Lepisosteus oculatus: one gene and its partner. The protein of the gene in region 1 interacts with the protein of each later gene in a pairwise test. Links are inferred from orthologs where the notes say so. Each region holds a gene or a part of one and is shown in the gene's direction. Other genes may lie near its edges. The genes, in order: pex6 and pex26.

The links.
Region 2: the proteins of pex6 (region 1) and pex26 come close enough for resonance energy transfer, tested with the Homo sapiens proteins (2 studies listed by BioGRID). The link is inferred for Lepisosteus oculatus from reciprocal best matches to the Homo sapiens genes PEX6 and PEX26.

The regions. Positions count from the first base shown.
Region 1 is NC_090712.1:3,845,009-3,852,919, reverse strand, and holds the start of pex6 (peroxisomal ATPase PEX6), read left to right. Parts: upstream 1-4,863; 5' UTR 4,864-4,876; coding exon 4,877-6,091; intron 6,092-6,366; coding exon 6,367-6,536; intron 6,537-6,917; coding exon 6,918-7,001; intron 7,002-7,408; coding exon 7,409-7,520; intron 7,521-7,911. Other genes in the region: crip3 (cysteine-rich protein 3), read right to left, coding at 1,416-1,458. UniProt on the Homo sapiens protein: Component of the PEX1-PEX6 AAA ATPase complex, a protein dislocase complex that mediates the ATP-dependent extraction of the PEX5 receptor from peroxisomal membranes, an essential step for PEX5 recycling.
Region 2 is NC_090702.1:9,040,582-9,048,692, forward strand, and holds the start of pex26 (peroxisome assembly protein 26), read left to right. Parts: upstream 1-4,995; 5' UTR 4,996-5,229; intron 5,230-6,385; 5' UTR 6,386-6,386; coding exon 6,387-6,610; intron 6,611-8,111. Other genes in the region: cystine/glutamate transporter, read right to left, coding at 958-1,165. UniProt on the Homo sapiens protein: Peroxisomal docking factor that anchors PEX1 and PEX6 to peroxisome membranes. PEX26 is therefore required for the formation of the PEX1-PEX6 AAA ATPase complex, a complex that mediates the extraction of the PEX5 receptor from peroxisomal membrane.

The DNA.
Region 1 (7,911 bases):
ATCATCGACAGGACACCAGTCAATAGCAGCATTCCATATTCTTTAACACTAAAAACTTAAACGCCCAGATACCAGTTTGTTCCATTAATTACAGAAAGTTTAAAACAAATTCTAATGTCTTTTACATCTTCACCTTTGGGTCTTTCACGTATGTGCATAGCATACGACCCTGGATTCCTATTCCAGCACAAGGCAATGTCCCCGTGTCTTTTTCCTGAATAATAACGGGCAGGCAGTCCATGTCTTTTGCTTCTATGAGCACTGCGAGCACTCTGCAACTCTCCCTACACAATTAAGGCATAGCTGAATGGCTTCCTGTCAAAAACAGCCATCCTTTGCGGTGACAACGGACTATTGATGGAGCTCCAGCATCACAGCATGTGCCAAACGGTTACATAACTTATTTGTTATGACCTATTTTAATAGCAGTTAGGAGGGTGTTTACAAGCCTTCATTCTATTGTATCAGATAGCTTGATTATGTCCGTAGCAGCACCTGATACCGCACTGGCGCGATAGACCACTGTCATTGACAATCTGCCAGCACACCAGTCTGTCTCAAACCTCCACTAAAAGCTACTTATGTTAAACACAAGCTGCAACTACTGTATGTAACGCCTAACCGTTTAAATTGTCTCAGTATTAACGTTAAAAAGCAAGCGACAGGCTTGTTCAGCAAAAACCGATTGATTCACTAATTTATTTTTGCCATATTTCTGCGACATCCTTCTGCAGCTACAACAGAGGAAAACAGCCCACGCTGTAGAAGATCTGGTGTTTCTACGGCATGCGTAGTCTCCACAATACTGTACAACAGCTCGCATTGCAGAGAGGACATTTGAAGGCAATTACTTACAAACATCCATAATAATTAAAAGATAAGAGCTGGAAGTCTAGTTTAATACGCGTCTGTCGAGCTCGATTAAAAGGGTAACCATGAACAACAAGTTTTGGACGTCAGAGCATTAAGATGAATTATATGGAAAACAAAAGACTTGAGCAACTAGGATTAGATAATGACATTACATTTTCAGATGAGATATTGTGCTTAGAGAAGAAAGCTTTAAGCAATAAAAATTTGATTTACTTCGGCTACTGAATTAAAACATACAGATAAGGATAGCTTAAAAACTTAAACAGGAAAATAAATCCATAACGCCACACAGCCCTCTCATTTTAGAAGTATAATTAAGACAATAGGAAACCAAACATTACAGCATGATCGCAGCTTGTGCCGTTTTGTAATCACTATAACGCTGCAACAAAAGTAACACATTAAAGTGGTGGGACTGCCTGCACGCCACCTTAAAAACAATAACACTCAGCCACACCAGCTGGTTTGCTTGCATTCTTCCTAACAATGTACAGTATGTGTTCATCCATGCAACACGCCGAGAAAACAAGGCAAAGTCTTACCAAAAAAGACAGGCTTTTCGCATCTGGGGCATTTGGAGGTCATTCTGCTCAAGTTTAGCCCCTGGCCACTGAAAATTTAATTCCGCCTGCTCTCTCTCTCTCCCGCCTGCCTGACGGATCTCTATCCAGGCTCCGGGCTCCAGACTCCCCAGAACTGCGCTCCGCGCCGCCAACTTATTCAACTTTAAAGAACCGCAGCGACCCGCCTCCTCGGGAACTCACTCGGGTAGGATAGCAGGGTGCTGACTGTGATAGGTTCGCTACCACATCACTTAAACAGCTTTGAAATACTGTAGGTTATCCTAGCAGGCGGATATTAATCTGTGAATTGATCACTGGCTGCAGTAACGAGTTGCGTTCGTTAACATCATAAGTTAACTCTTGCCCTTTGATCGGTTCAGGCTAAAAAGAGGATCAGATTCCGAAAGAAGGCTCTTCGTTTCACACTTTTAATCGGGATTGTAAACATACAAGAAATACCGTATTTACCATTGCAGAAAGTTGCGGTGTCAAGATAACTGCATATAAATAATATATATTAAATAAGCATATAAAACAGAGTGCAGAATTTAAGAGGAAGTCATCTTTTTTTCACAATGTTAAAAAACATGAGAATAGTTATGTTTTTTTTATCGTTAGTAGCTAATTGATTCGAGTATCCCATCCAGCTGTTAATTGAAATAAGTATCGACTTCACAATGACTGGGGACCTTGTTCCACACTCCCAGAACCTTCTGAACAGACCTGTAATATTTAGCAGGTTGTGTTTTGGAGTGTCGTTTAGGTGGTAGAATATGTACTTCTATGAAAAAAATAATAAGGTTTATCATATTTAAACTCTTCGGAATGCATTTCTGCACAACGTCTATGGGAAAAAAAAAGTCCGGTTTGTAGATTTTAACATCTCTGATACATGCTTGATGTGTATAGCCTATTTTTAATTTCATTTCAAAGGCGAATAAAGAATAAGCAAATCCAACGACTCTTATCAAATTCATATTTCGTGCACAATTGTACGTTTTCTCTTCTTAGGAACTGAGTCATACAAATAAAGGTAACAACTTGAACTTGAACTTCATTGCCATATGTAACCGGTACTGGAACAATGGAATTCTTACTTACAGAAAGTCTCTCGTTTGTAAAACAAGTGTAAAAAACAAAACAAAGTGCAAACAGTGCATCAAGACAATGAAGCTCAAGACGACGAGGATGGGATTCGAACCCACGCGTGCAGAGCACAATGGATTAGCAATTAACAAGCCAATTGCTTTAAGGCACCAACGTTTGTCTCAGTAAAACCGGCAGGAGAAATCTTGCGTATTGCGCTGAATTTAAAATAGAAACAATTCACGTTTTAGAAGAATGGTTGCATACTTCTATCTAAAAGAGGTCTACAGTATGTTGAACATAAGGATGTTTTTCCTGCTAGAATGCATTGTACTGTATATAATTTCCACCATCCCGGCACCCACGACGATCGCAAAAGACAAAGTGGTGTTTGTTCATCAGCGCTTCCCAGATGCAAGTCTATATGCGGGGCTGGCATTGTCTTCGGTGGGAAGGAAGGGCTTTGTGTTAAGAATAAATGTCAGCGGGTGTTGTGGGATTTGAGTTCTGAAAATAATATAAAAAAGAAGAGAGGGCTTGAAAGAAGAGGCTGAGAGGATGGATGGGAAAATGCCGGTTGAATAACACTTGTTGCTCGCAGAGGATGCACTGCAGCTGGTGTCTGCTCTCCGCGGGCCACGCGTGGGAAAAGCATCCCAGTGAGGCCAGTTCCCAGGAATTCCTCTTTCAGGTTCAGTTCCGCGACAGGAGCGTAATTCTCCCGATTTAGCCTGTTCCCGGCGGTTCTAATGTCAAGTACGGTGCTAAAGAATGGACTGTAAACCCACTCGCATTGTGCCAGTGCAGTGTAGGGCTGCAGAATCCAATCCAAAAGCCTCCTGACAGTGATCCAGATTCAAAGAGCTTGCACGGCATGACCGATGAATTTGTGCTGCTAAAGCAAAGCAATAATAATTAAACATTGCCAAACATTTAGATAAATAATAATAATAATAATAATTAATAACAATAATATTGTTATTCCGCTCTACAATGGACACGCTGCTTTTGAACATTCTAAAACCCACTGTAGCTCAGCAGGTGTGAGCCTGGTCAGTACCTGGATGGGAAACCTCCTTGGAAAAACTAAGGTTGCTGCTGAAAGAGGTGATAGTGGGGCCAGCGGGGGGCGCTCACCCTGCGGTCCATGTGGGTCCTAATGCCCCAGTATAGTGACGGGGACACTATACTGTAAACAGGCGCCGTTCTTCGGACGAGACTTAAAACCGAGGTCCTGACTCTCTGTGGTGATTAAAAATCCCAGGGTGTTTCTCGAAAGGAGCAGGGGTGTAACCGCGGCGTCCTGGCCAAATTTCCCATTGGCCCTTACCAATCATGGCCTCCTAATAATCCCCCTCTCTGAACTGGCTTCATTACTCTGCTCTCCTCCCCACAGCTGATGTGTGGTGAGCGTTTGGAGCACTATGGCTGCCGTCGCATCATCCAGGTGGGGCTGCACATTGGTGGTGGAGGGGAGTCCCCATTACCTGTAAAGTGCTTTGAGTGGAGTGTCCAGAAAAGCTCTATTTAAGTGTAAGCAATTATGATTATTATTTTTAAAACACGGACGTTCTGGGTAACAGAAATGTGAAAGGTGTAAATCAAGACACAGTGTGAAATTATAACATCGATATAAAGAGGAAATGAAAAGGATATACAGGAGGAACTCAAAATATATTGAGATTACTTTTTATTAGTTGTATTATTTCGTTTGAATTGGGAACATAACATTCATGCCTAGAAAACATTTGGAGAACAAAATATATTCAATTATACATCAATATTAAAACACCTTTTGTGTACATGTTAGTGTAGGAATGCATTTTTCATTAAGCTTGCTGTAGATATACAATACAATTGCATTTATTAAAAAAAGATGTCGTGTAATTATGTGCTACAATTTCTATACTTATAGTATCGTCCAATAACAGGTTATTCTTTTTTAATGAGTTATCACGTTTAAATGTATTATCATTTGTCTGTCGTGTTTTTTTCATATTTCAAGAAATATGACTAACAATCTATCAGGTGAAACACAAATGTTGAAGTTGAAACGCGAATATCGATTAAAGAGCACTGATATTCTATGCATATACTATTAACTGTGCGCCACAATACATCTTAATTTATTAAAAGTACTGTAAAATCGTCCACAGTGATTGATTTTTCAGTCCAGCATAATTGCGTCCCTAAATATTTGTATTTTCGTCGCAATCCGTAAGTAACGACTTTGAAATACTGTATTTTGTTGTGTGATGCCCTCTGATGGTTGAAGCGAAGAAAGACAAAAGGTTCGACAGCTCGTCTCTCTGCTTGATTTCCTGATTTCATCAGTTCGTGCTGCATTCGACAATATGGCAGCGCAGGCAGAGTTGTTTTGCTTGGATACGTTTCCGTCTCATTATAATCAATTGCATGTCCTGCTTGCAAAATCACAGTTCAATCAGATATTTCCAGGTAGAAATGAATTACCATGTGTGCTGCTTTGTGCGCGGAGGCGGCAGTCTCCTCCGAGAGCTGACATGTTTCTGTGTGCCCATGTCACGACAGAGGAAGACATTCCGGAGTTTGCTACCTTCGTGAACAGCGATACACTGCTAAAACTTTACACAAGCAGACTGTTTTTTCGGCATTACGGGTTTCAGCCTGGTGCAAAAGTGACGGTGCGTTTGGCGTCTCCAATAGGCCTGAGTAAAATAGTGGTTGGCGCAAAAAGCAGACAGAGCTTTAAATGGGCAAATTCCGATAAGTTCTCGAATGGACTTCTCATACTCGCCTCCTGTCAGAAACAAAACGTTTTGGCGAGGCAGGGTGACGTGTTGTTAGTGCCTTACCACCCACTTTTTGGCGACGATATCGCCCAGGTTAATCAGTATTTTTTAGACCTGGTTGTCCTGGAGTGTACACCTGTTACGCAGGGAGTCATAACAGTTAACACGACTGTGGTGGTCACAGACTGCAGAGACTTGGCGCAGAATCACGGCCCTTTAGAGGGCTCAAGCCAGGCGTCGACGACTAGACTTTTAACATCCCTGTATGCTTCTGATTTTGCACACTACGCTAATAGCTTCTCTGGGGGGCGTTCGCTGTTAGAAAAGAAGAAAGTCATTAAGTCAGACTTCTCTGATTTTCTGCAAGCATTGGAATGCAGATTTGACGTCAGAGTAATGGATGTGTCCAGCCTGCTGAAGCAAGGGAGGATTAAAATAAAAGATAAGGCAGATTTGGGGACCAACGTGGATGCTTCTATTTTTGTGAGCAAACACTCACTCCTTAAACTGGGTCTGTTCAACCACGAATGGGTTGTTGTGTCCACGTTAAGCCTCTCTTCGGACAAAATGAGGGTTTCGGTTAGGAGTGACTGTCCTGAGAAACCCGAGGACCATGCCTGCAGTAAAGACGCCGTGACACACAGAGGTGGGCACCTCGCTGCAGTTGTTGTTGCTGAATTCACCAGATCTCAAGACCTGGAGTTTCACGAAAACGTGGGCTTCGTCTCGCCCTCTCTGTGGTTTAACTTATCTGGTGGGGCCCCAATGCCCATCGCCAGCAGAGTTGTCAAGATAAAGGTGAGTGCTGAGGTCTGTGTCTTGTATTCCACTTGAGAAGGATGTAGATGGAACATTTTCTAAAACATTAAGTTGATCACGTCATTTCTAACGTAAACTATTCAAATATGGGAGAAATTGTGCTTCTCCATGTTGGCAATACTTTATGAGCTAGAGTGTACATATTGGGGAATATCTCTAGTTCAGTGAACAGAAGGGACTGGTTGAACTAATCCTTGCGAGTGGTAAGAAGTACCATAATTTGAAGTGAGTCTTTTTCTCCTGTTTTTCTGCAGAGATGCTATGAGCAGGTTTCCCAACAAGAGAGACAGCTGAAAGACAGCAGGTCCTCCACAGCATCTTTACCCTTTGCCAGAGAACTGCACATTGACGCCATCATTTCACCTGACTACAGCTCCAAAGGCAGTATTGATAGTGTTCTCTATGCACACTTTAGCACACCCAGGTTAGTCAAGTGTCTCAAAGATATGAATAGTCATAGGCCCACTCCATTTTAAAACTGCAGGAACACCCTTAATGTAACTGGTGTCAAGGAAGGGTTTGTCCCATGTACAGTAGGAATCATCATTATTGTATCACGTATATACTACATATTATATACATGTTCAGGTGGGTAGCTGCATCAGCATGTGTAGGCTGCAAAGGAACAAGTAATAGGTTTATTCCATGCTGAAAAGAGAAGAAAGAAAACGCAACGTTTCGGCCATGGTGCTCCACGGCTGAAACGTTGTGTTTTCTTTCTTCTTTTTTCAGCATATTATATACAGTACATACTGCATTTAAAACTTGATCAAATTTCACTCCAGCTGATATTTTGTCATTTCAGGCTGGTGCAATTAGGGGATGTTTTGAGCATTCCTACTGAAGGACATGCAGCATTCCTAGAGAGTCACACTGAAGGATTTACAAGGTAATCTCTCAGCCCAGAAACTTTAAGCAAAATCAGCTGTATATTAAAGCATATAGAACAGTTTAAATCTGTCTGTGAAAAATAATTATCTTTGTCTCCACAATATTAAACATCTTGATTCTAAAAGTTTACTGCGGTATATGACTTGGAAAATGCTAGGTGTGTCCATGCTTAGTGAAATCATGGTGAAGAACAGAGAGATACAGTAAAGCATAATTTAGATTACATGTAACAGTGACCAGGTAAAACAAATTCATGGTATTAGCACAGAAAGGCATTGTGACAATGTCTTGCAAAGTTGTCATGGTAAATGCCCACTAGAAATCTGGTTATGCTTGTAACTAATATCCTAGTTGTTCATGCCTATTTTTTATCTAATTGTTTTATGTTGTCTTGTTATCTCGCAGTTGGCCAGTATTGTATTTCAGGGTGAAGAAGGTTTGTGGCACTACTACAGAGAATGGAGAGATGAGCCCTTTTGGTTATCTGGCTGATACAGAACACACATCCTTGTACTTGGTAAGAGAGAATTGTCTTTGGATATATATGTTGAATGTAAATAGACATTGTACAGGAATGCAATGGTAGTATAGTAGCTAATGTCCCAGAAATCATTTTCTGTTTTTTTTTCGTGGAACAATATCCATACATCAATAACCTTTTTGTTGGAAAAATTCAGCTAAAATATCACATCCCATATCGCCTTTCAGACCTACATGCAGTTTTGAGTAAGGATCTATAAAGGTTATTTGAGAAAAAATTGAAATATAAGGCATTAGTGTCATCTTTTCCCGTTTGTGAATGAAAAATGAAAAAAACATTCTGAATCTTTGTTCGTTAACATTTGGAGTTACCCATCCATCAATACCTGAATCATTAGTAGAGATACTGTATAACATCTACACGTTAA
Region 2 (8,111 bases), on another chromosome or scaffold:
GTCAGTACCTGGATCGGAGACCTCCTGGGAAAAACTAAGGTTGCTGCTGGAAGAGGTGTTAGTGGGGACAGCAGGGGGCGCTCACCCTGCGGTCCATGTGGGTCCTAATGTCCCAGTATAGTGAAGGTGACACTATACTGTAAAACAGGCGCCGTCCTTCAGATGAGACGTAAAACCGAGGACCTGACTCTCTGTGGTCATTAAAAATCCCAGGGCGCTTCTCGAAAAGAGTAGGGGTGTAACCCCGGTGTCCTGGCCAAATTTCCCAATGGCCCTTACTGATCATGGCCTCCTAATAATCCCCCTCTATAAATTGGCTACATTACTCTGCTCTCCTCCCCACTGATAGCTGATGTGTGGTGAGCGTTCCGACGCACTATATCTGCTGTTGCATCATCCAGGTGGATGCTGCACGGTGGTGGTGGAGGGGAGTCCCCATTACTTGTAAAGTGCTTTGCGTGGAGTGTCCAGAAAAGCGCTATATAAGTGTAAGCAATTATTATTATAACAAAAATACCTTTTCTGTTTTGAAGGGATATGCATAGTTAAAATTAACAAACCTTTTATGTTTCTGATACAAGCTTTTTACATCTCATGGCCAGAATGAGAGGTGAAATCATTGTTCCATTTTTTGTCACCTTGGCTAAATTTGTTAACAGCACCCTTACTGCTTAAGGATTTCCATTTATACAGTATGTTAAACATGTTGAAGCCCACAGAACAATGGTGGTGTTCCACAGGTGAACAACAGGATAATTTTCTTGCATAGTGTTTATAACATAATGGTTCAATGCTTTAACATGTAGCTAAATCCACCTTTTTATGATTTTTCATTAGTCAAGAGAGCAAAAAAAAAAACTACATTTTTGCAACTATTTTTATAATTTAAATCAAAGGAGAACAACCTGAACACTAGACTAGAACTACCATACAAAGTCTGCTGGTATCGCCACTCACCGAAGGTGGACAGTATCCCAGAGAGCACCCAGATGATCAGAGACAAACCCACGTTGCCACTGTTCTTGAGAACACCTTTGGGAGCAATGAAGATCCCACTGCCCACCACAGTGCCGATGATCAGACAGACAGCTCCCAGCAGGTCAATCTTCTTCCTCAAGTAAACAGTTTCAGCTCCTGACTTAGCTTCACTTTTATTCCCCTCCATGTTTGCAGAATTGCTCCAAGGAAGAACATGCACTCACACTCCAAGGCTGTGTTTTTTGGACTATGTGCTGCACAGTCGCCACAGTAACCTATTTTGGGCCAAAAACAAAGGAAGCAGTCTTCTCGAGTTGCTCTCGCATAGTTAATCAGAGACGTCTGAGGGTCAAACTGCTGCCTGTGTGCGCGCAGCTTGTTGAGAGAGAGAAGGCCACCCAATGGAAAACAGCTGCCTGACACTACAGGCCCCCACCTCCTTTTTTATTCCTCAAATACTGTATCTGTGGACTGAATTTGGGCACTGAATTCTGAGAAAATATTTTTCATTAAATAGGCCTAGGGAAGGATCGCAGGATTTCTTTTAAAAAATCAAAATCAATGACAATCACAAGTCATGACATGTTTTGTAAACAAAATAAAACCTGTCAAAAAATTTATATTTGATGGAAGATGGCTTCATATATTTCCTTATTACACAAAGTCCTTACTATCTTTACAGAGGAGGATTTTTCAAATGCACAATCATTATTTTATTTTTACATCCACATATTTGGATTCACTGTGAGCTTTGTACCATTACAAATGGGAACAAGGGCTTTCCTTCAAGATGTAATTTTATTAAGCCATCATGCTCCGAGTACCACAGAGTCAATCAGAAACTTAAAGTCAATCTCACTAACATTACTGCTCAAAATACTATCGTTTCTTCCATTGTGTGTGTATCTCTCATTATTAAGCCGGTATCTCCAATAACATCCTCAGAGCTGGAACACAGCGTGATTCTGGCTAACATGCGACAATGAAATGCACATTGTGTCTTACAAAAGTATCCACCCCCTGCCAAGAACAGGGGAAATTAATGTGCGTTAAGAAGGACAATGGCCTGGATAGCAGAAGGCTGTTTGCCACAGACACTCAGGAGTGTAATTTGGCGCCAAACGTTAATAGTGAGGGGCTTGCGTGGACTGCCTGAACACCGGCAGAGCGCTTCGTTTCCGTAACCACGGAGCAAGCGGTGTGCTGGTGTATAGTCGTATCGTAAGGCGTCTTCTCCGCTATATACTGTACAACGAAAAGTCTTTCCACTAAAGGGAAAATTATACTTCGGTAACCACTTCGCTACAACGCTGGTTCAGAGCTTGGACCCCATCCGCGCGCTCGCGGGGATGTTAAATAGCAAACCTGTTAAGCCTCAGGTGCTGTAGTTACAGTAGCTGTGCATTCCCTAGCGCCGCGGAGTACGGAGTGCAGAAAGAGCTGTGTTCCACTGTCACACCTGCAAGAGAAAAACTGTCTAGTACTGATTAACCCAACAGAGAAAACAAATCTTGAGTGCTGAGAGATTTTGATTTCATATGTACAAATATTTTGAACTATACACTGTAGTTTAAATTGGCCAAAGAGGCTGATTTATGTTTATATAAATGTTTGAGTTATTATTGCCTTGATTAATACAACTACAAAATATATAATTTAAGATCGAATGATTAATTACAGTATAATTACAGGACAACTCCAGAGATTTGACACTGTATTTGAACGAAAAGAATCGGTATATCATGTGCAGATTACACATGACAGCACACAAGTAAAGTATCCAGAGTAGGTTTATACTTACCCCAATGTTCACATAATCTGATTAAAAGTTCTATCTACAATTGTATAAGACCAATGTCTGTATCTGTTCCCACGCCTAGAGCTGTCATATTCAAACTCCCACAGAGACATTAATTGATATCAACACAGATTTATGTGCTTGAGTGAATCACTACAGGCAAGCAAAAACAAAAAAATACTGAGTTAATCAGTTATATTTATTTCTGCAATTAAGTGGAGTTTTGTCATTTTCATTTTGGAATTTTTAACATTCACATAGTATTTTTAATTCATTTAAAGCCAGTCATCTGAACAACACACTTTTATTCTCCAATAAAGACTTCAGCTGCACCTGACCTGTAGCTCTTAGAGGAAGCACTATAGGAATGCAGTAGATTGCCTGTAAGACAAAAGATGGCTATTTCATATACATTTGCTTAACACTGTACAAAATAGTGAGCAAATGCTAAGACAGACCATGGGATACAGATGGAAATAGCAAGCAGTCTGAAGATTTTTATCCCAAAGTTACTAAATACAGATCATTACAATTAGCCCTAAAAACCTGCACTGCTGTGTTCTGAAGTGTTCTTGAACTGTCACAGAGTATGTTAAAGTGTACACATGATTTCAGACATTAAACCACTCTTTAAAAAATAGAACGTTTTGTTTTAATGTCACTGTCTTAGTGGCATAACATCTGAGCTGTCAGTTAAAACAGGGGAAATGCATAGGCAATAGCTGTAGAATAATTGAATATTTATAAAATAACAAGTAATAGGTTTATTCCATGCTGAAAAAAAGAAGAAAGAGAACACAACGTTTCAACGTTGTGTTCTCTTTCTTCTTTTTTTCAGCATGGAATAAACCTATTACTTGTTCCTTTGCAGCCTACGCATGCTGACGCAGCTACCCACCTGATTTATAAAATAAGTCTATCAAGGGAAATCCTCAAAAGCTGATAGGAAAAACCTAACTTAGATTAATTGTAAGTGTATGTATTGAAGTCAGGATAATTCAGTTATTAAAAAAACTGAGCTTTTGATTGTAGAGGGGGAGAAGGGGAAAAGGGAAGAGAATGGGAGACTGAAAAAAACTAAAATTATCCACTGTCCATATAGTCTAAGGTCTTGCTCCGATTTAGAATTAACAGAAATCATGAAGTAGATCAAGAATAGCTTTTGTGACAAAACTCTAGAAAAATCGGTCAGATTGTGTAAGTACTGCAGTTGCTCACAAAATAAATGTATAAGAAAACCCAAACAGTTAAAAAAATAACAATCAAGTGTGTCAGATTGAGATAGCTGGTGTCCTACTCACGCTCCATCTCCTACTATTCTAGATTCCATGTTATATCACAAATAGTATAGGTTGTGCTAACTTTTAATTTTTTTTTCTGTTTATCTCTCTATGTGTTAAGAATAGAGGACACAAACGCTACAAAAGTCAAGAGCATCTTAACCTTCCTGCTGCTACAGATGCAGTGCTGTGGAATAGGCTGTGCATGTGATAACTATTCATTGCTGTTTCAACGGTGTCGTGACTGCCAGCTTTAAAGAAACAAAATATCTGATCTAGGGGTCTGAATACTTTTGCAATACTTGGCAGGTATGAAGAATAGCTGGTAGCTCCTGCTGTAATATTTCATATACCAGAGAATAAACAAATAAGAAACATTTATAAAGATAAAATATAAAGTATATTATATTCAATAATATATTTGTTATGTATTATATTAAATTAATTATAATCTTATAAAAATAAAATATTAGTAAGTTGCTGCTTTATAAAATTATAAAAATAAGTATTAGTCCGTCCTTCGGATGAGACGTAAAACCGAGGTCCTGACTCTCTGTGGTCATTAAAAATCCCAGGGCTCTTCTCGAAAAGAGTAGGGGTGTACCCCGGTGTCCTGGCCAAATTGGCTACATTACTCTGCTCTCCTCCCCACTGATAGCTGATGTGTGGTGAGCGTTCTGGCGCACTATGGCTGCCGTCGCATCATCCAGGTGGATGCTGCACATTGGTGGTGGTGGAGGGGAGTCCCCATTACCTGTAAAGCGCTTTGAGTGGAGTGTCCAGAAAAGCGCTATATAAGTGTAAGCAATTATTATTATTATTATTATAGTCTCCACAAACATATATTATGGGAAGTGTAGTTTTCTAGCGGTCTCCAATGAGTGCATTCTAACAGTAAAAACTATGATTCCCACAGTTCATTGCGTTGTTGACATCCGCTCCAAGTATGTCCGCTGTGTAGCTGATCAGTTTTAACTTTGATGTGGAAAAAAGTGTAATAAGGTTTTGATTTTTTAGACGCAGATTTCTAAATCAACACAATATCTTTTTTTTGCTTTCTTTTCCTCTTGCGTTTCGATGTGGTAAAATACATTAATGTTACCTGCTCAATTTTAAATAGTGAAAGTCAGTTTTCTGCGAAACAGGATTAAACGTGCTGTGAGTGCGTGAAAGGTTGGTATATTATATAGTAAATGTGAAGAGTATAGTAAGTAAAAGTCTCTTTAAAAATGATCTCTTTAAAATGATGTTAGTGTTAATGGATTGATGGTTCAAAAAGATCAATAAAAACTCAAATAACTTTTGTCGTACAGTTCTGCAAACGGTGGAGAAAATGTTAGATGGTTATTTACTCAGAATAAATATAAAACGTACTATATGGAGTGAATTATTTGTAATGCTTTTTACGGAGATAAAACCTCCTGACACTTTTCGATTAACATCTGCAATTTAAAAATAAATTCTTAATCGAATGCATATTCGCAAAGATTTTCGTTGTTTTTTTATGCCTTTACATACTTTTATGCCTTTACATACTGAATTACTTAACATTAGTATCCAGATCGGGTTTTTCACTTCTTAAGTGAAACAAGTGAGTATTGTATTCAGAGTGATTAGTAACTTCATAGTGGATTGATATGCAGTACACATGTACATGCATGCCTATTTGCAGAATAAATGATTACTTATGGTGGCATGATGGTGCAGTAGTTGGCATTGCTAGTTTGCAGCGCTGGGGGCCTGTGTCTGTGGTGTTGGATGGGAGTTCTGTCCAGGGTGTATCCTGCCCTGTGCTAGTTGCTTCCCGCGATAGGCTTCGGATCCCCCGAGACCCTGAACTGGATAAAGCGGTTAGAAAATGGATGGATAGATGAATAAGTGCTTTCATTCTTATTTGAAGTTATCAATCAAAGTTTATTTATCAAATGCACAACAACACAGTGTGCAGCAGTAGTTGCTGGCAATGGAATGTCTTTTCTACGAGCTCACTGGGAGAGATAAAAATCACAGAATTAAAGTTGCAAAATAAGGTTACATAATGATAGATAATAGTGCAATAGAAATTCAATAAGATAAACTCAATATAAATAGAGTTGCTATGTGTCCAGGGTGTATGCAATACATTATGTCCAAGTAGTGCAGTATGCCAAATACAATGAAAACTGTATGTCCATGTAGCCATTGTGGGTGACTTGCTGAAGGCACTATAGGATTTGCTGAAGGAATTATGACAGTGAACACAAATCTGCATGCTGTTGCATTGTATCTTAACAGAAGACGCAGTCCTTGCGCTGCTGTGGAAAGTGAATATTTTCTGTTTCTCTGCAAGGATGCGGAGCAGCTCCTCCACCTCTCTGGCCCATGTGAGGGGCCTGGGCTCGGTGCGACTCGGCAGCAGCCCGCTGCTGTCCCAGGGCTCGGCTCAGGCGCTCAGCCTGCTGGAGACCGCCGCCGAGCAGCTGATGGTGCAGCGGGATTTTCGAGCAGCGCTGGATTCATGCGAGAGAGGTTTGGACAGCATGGGGAGTGTCCCTGAGCAGGAGGACACATCAAGGTACCGCTACAGCCAAAGACAAACAAGGGCGTGTTGTGTACTCATAATAGTGCAATATGTTTTGGGGGCCAATAATGAGATTGACAAGGAAATCTGGGTATTGATTAATAAAATTAAGTAGTTTACAGTGCCTTCAAAAAGTATTCACCCCCATTGATGATTTCTTGTTCTACTGTGTTGCAAAGTCAAATTAAAACATATTTAAATGGGATTTTTTTCCTCTAAAATGTTAAAATGAAATGAAGTATTTAGACGTCTTCAAAATTATATTAAAAATAAAAATCTGAAAATTTCTTAATTGATAAGTATTCACCCCCTTTGTTTTAACAACCTAAATTGGGTGAGGTATTCAACCACCTTGAGAGATATCACACTAAATGTCACGAAGAGTAGATCAGGACCCTATGCAGACGATAGAATCCGGAAGGGAGTGCAACAGACACGGGGAGGAGACGGAGAGGAACTGGGCAGGTGGACGAACGGGGGTGTGACGATGGTGCACTGCCCGTGGAACTTCGAGAAGAAGTTGTAAGGAGGAAAAAAACTGGAGAAGGTTATTAAAAGATTGGCAAAGCTTTGAGCCTTCCTAGGAGCACCGTGAAGTCCAGTGTAACAAAATGGAAAAAACATGGCACAACCTAGACACTACTAAGATCAGGCCGTCCTACCAAATTGAGCAACCGGACAAGAAGGCCAATTGTCAGAGAAGTGACCAAGAGGCCAGCTACAACACTGACAGAGTTGCAGAGCTCTTTGGCTTAAATGGGAGAAACTGTCCAGACATCAACAATCTCTTCAGCACTTCACAGATTTGGCCTCTTTGGGAGATTGGCTAGAAGGAAGCCACTTCTGAGAAAGGCCAACATTAAATCACTCCTGGAGTTTGCTAGAAACCAAATACAACTGAACACCCAGGTAACACCATCAAGCATGGTGGTGGCAGCATCATGCTCTGGGGTTGCTTTTTAGCAGGAGGAACTGGAAAGCTTGTTGCCATCAAGGGCAACATGGATGGAGCCAAATACAGGCAAATCCTTGAGGAGAACCTGTTTCAGTCAGCCAGAGATCTGCGTTTAGGTTGAAGATTCATTTTCCAGCAGGACAATGACCCAAAGCACATGGCAAAAACTATCAAGGAATGGTTTGAAAAAAAGAAGGTTAGTATTCTGGAATGGCCCAGCTAGAGCCCAGAGGTGAATCCAATTGAAATTCTGTGGTGAGACCTGAACATTTCTTTCCACAGATGCTCTCCATCTAATTTGGCAGAGTTGGAGCAAATTTGCATTGAAGAATGGGCAAAAATACCACAATTTAAATGTGCAAAGCTCATACAGACAATCCCGAGAAGACTCATGGCTGTAATTGCTGCTAAAGGACTATGTACAAAGTATTGACTGGGGGTGGGGCTAAATACTTTTGTTAATGAGAAATGTAAGTCTTTCATTCTGGAGAAATGAATGTTCTTGAATTAAAAAAAAAAGATTCATAAATGTTTAATTTA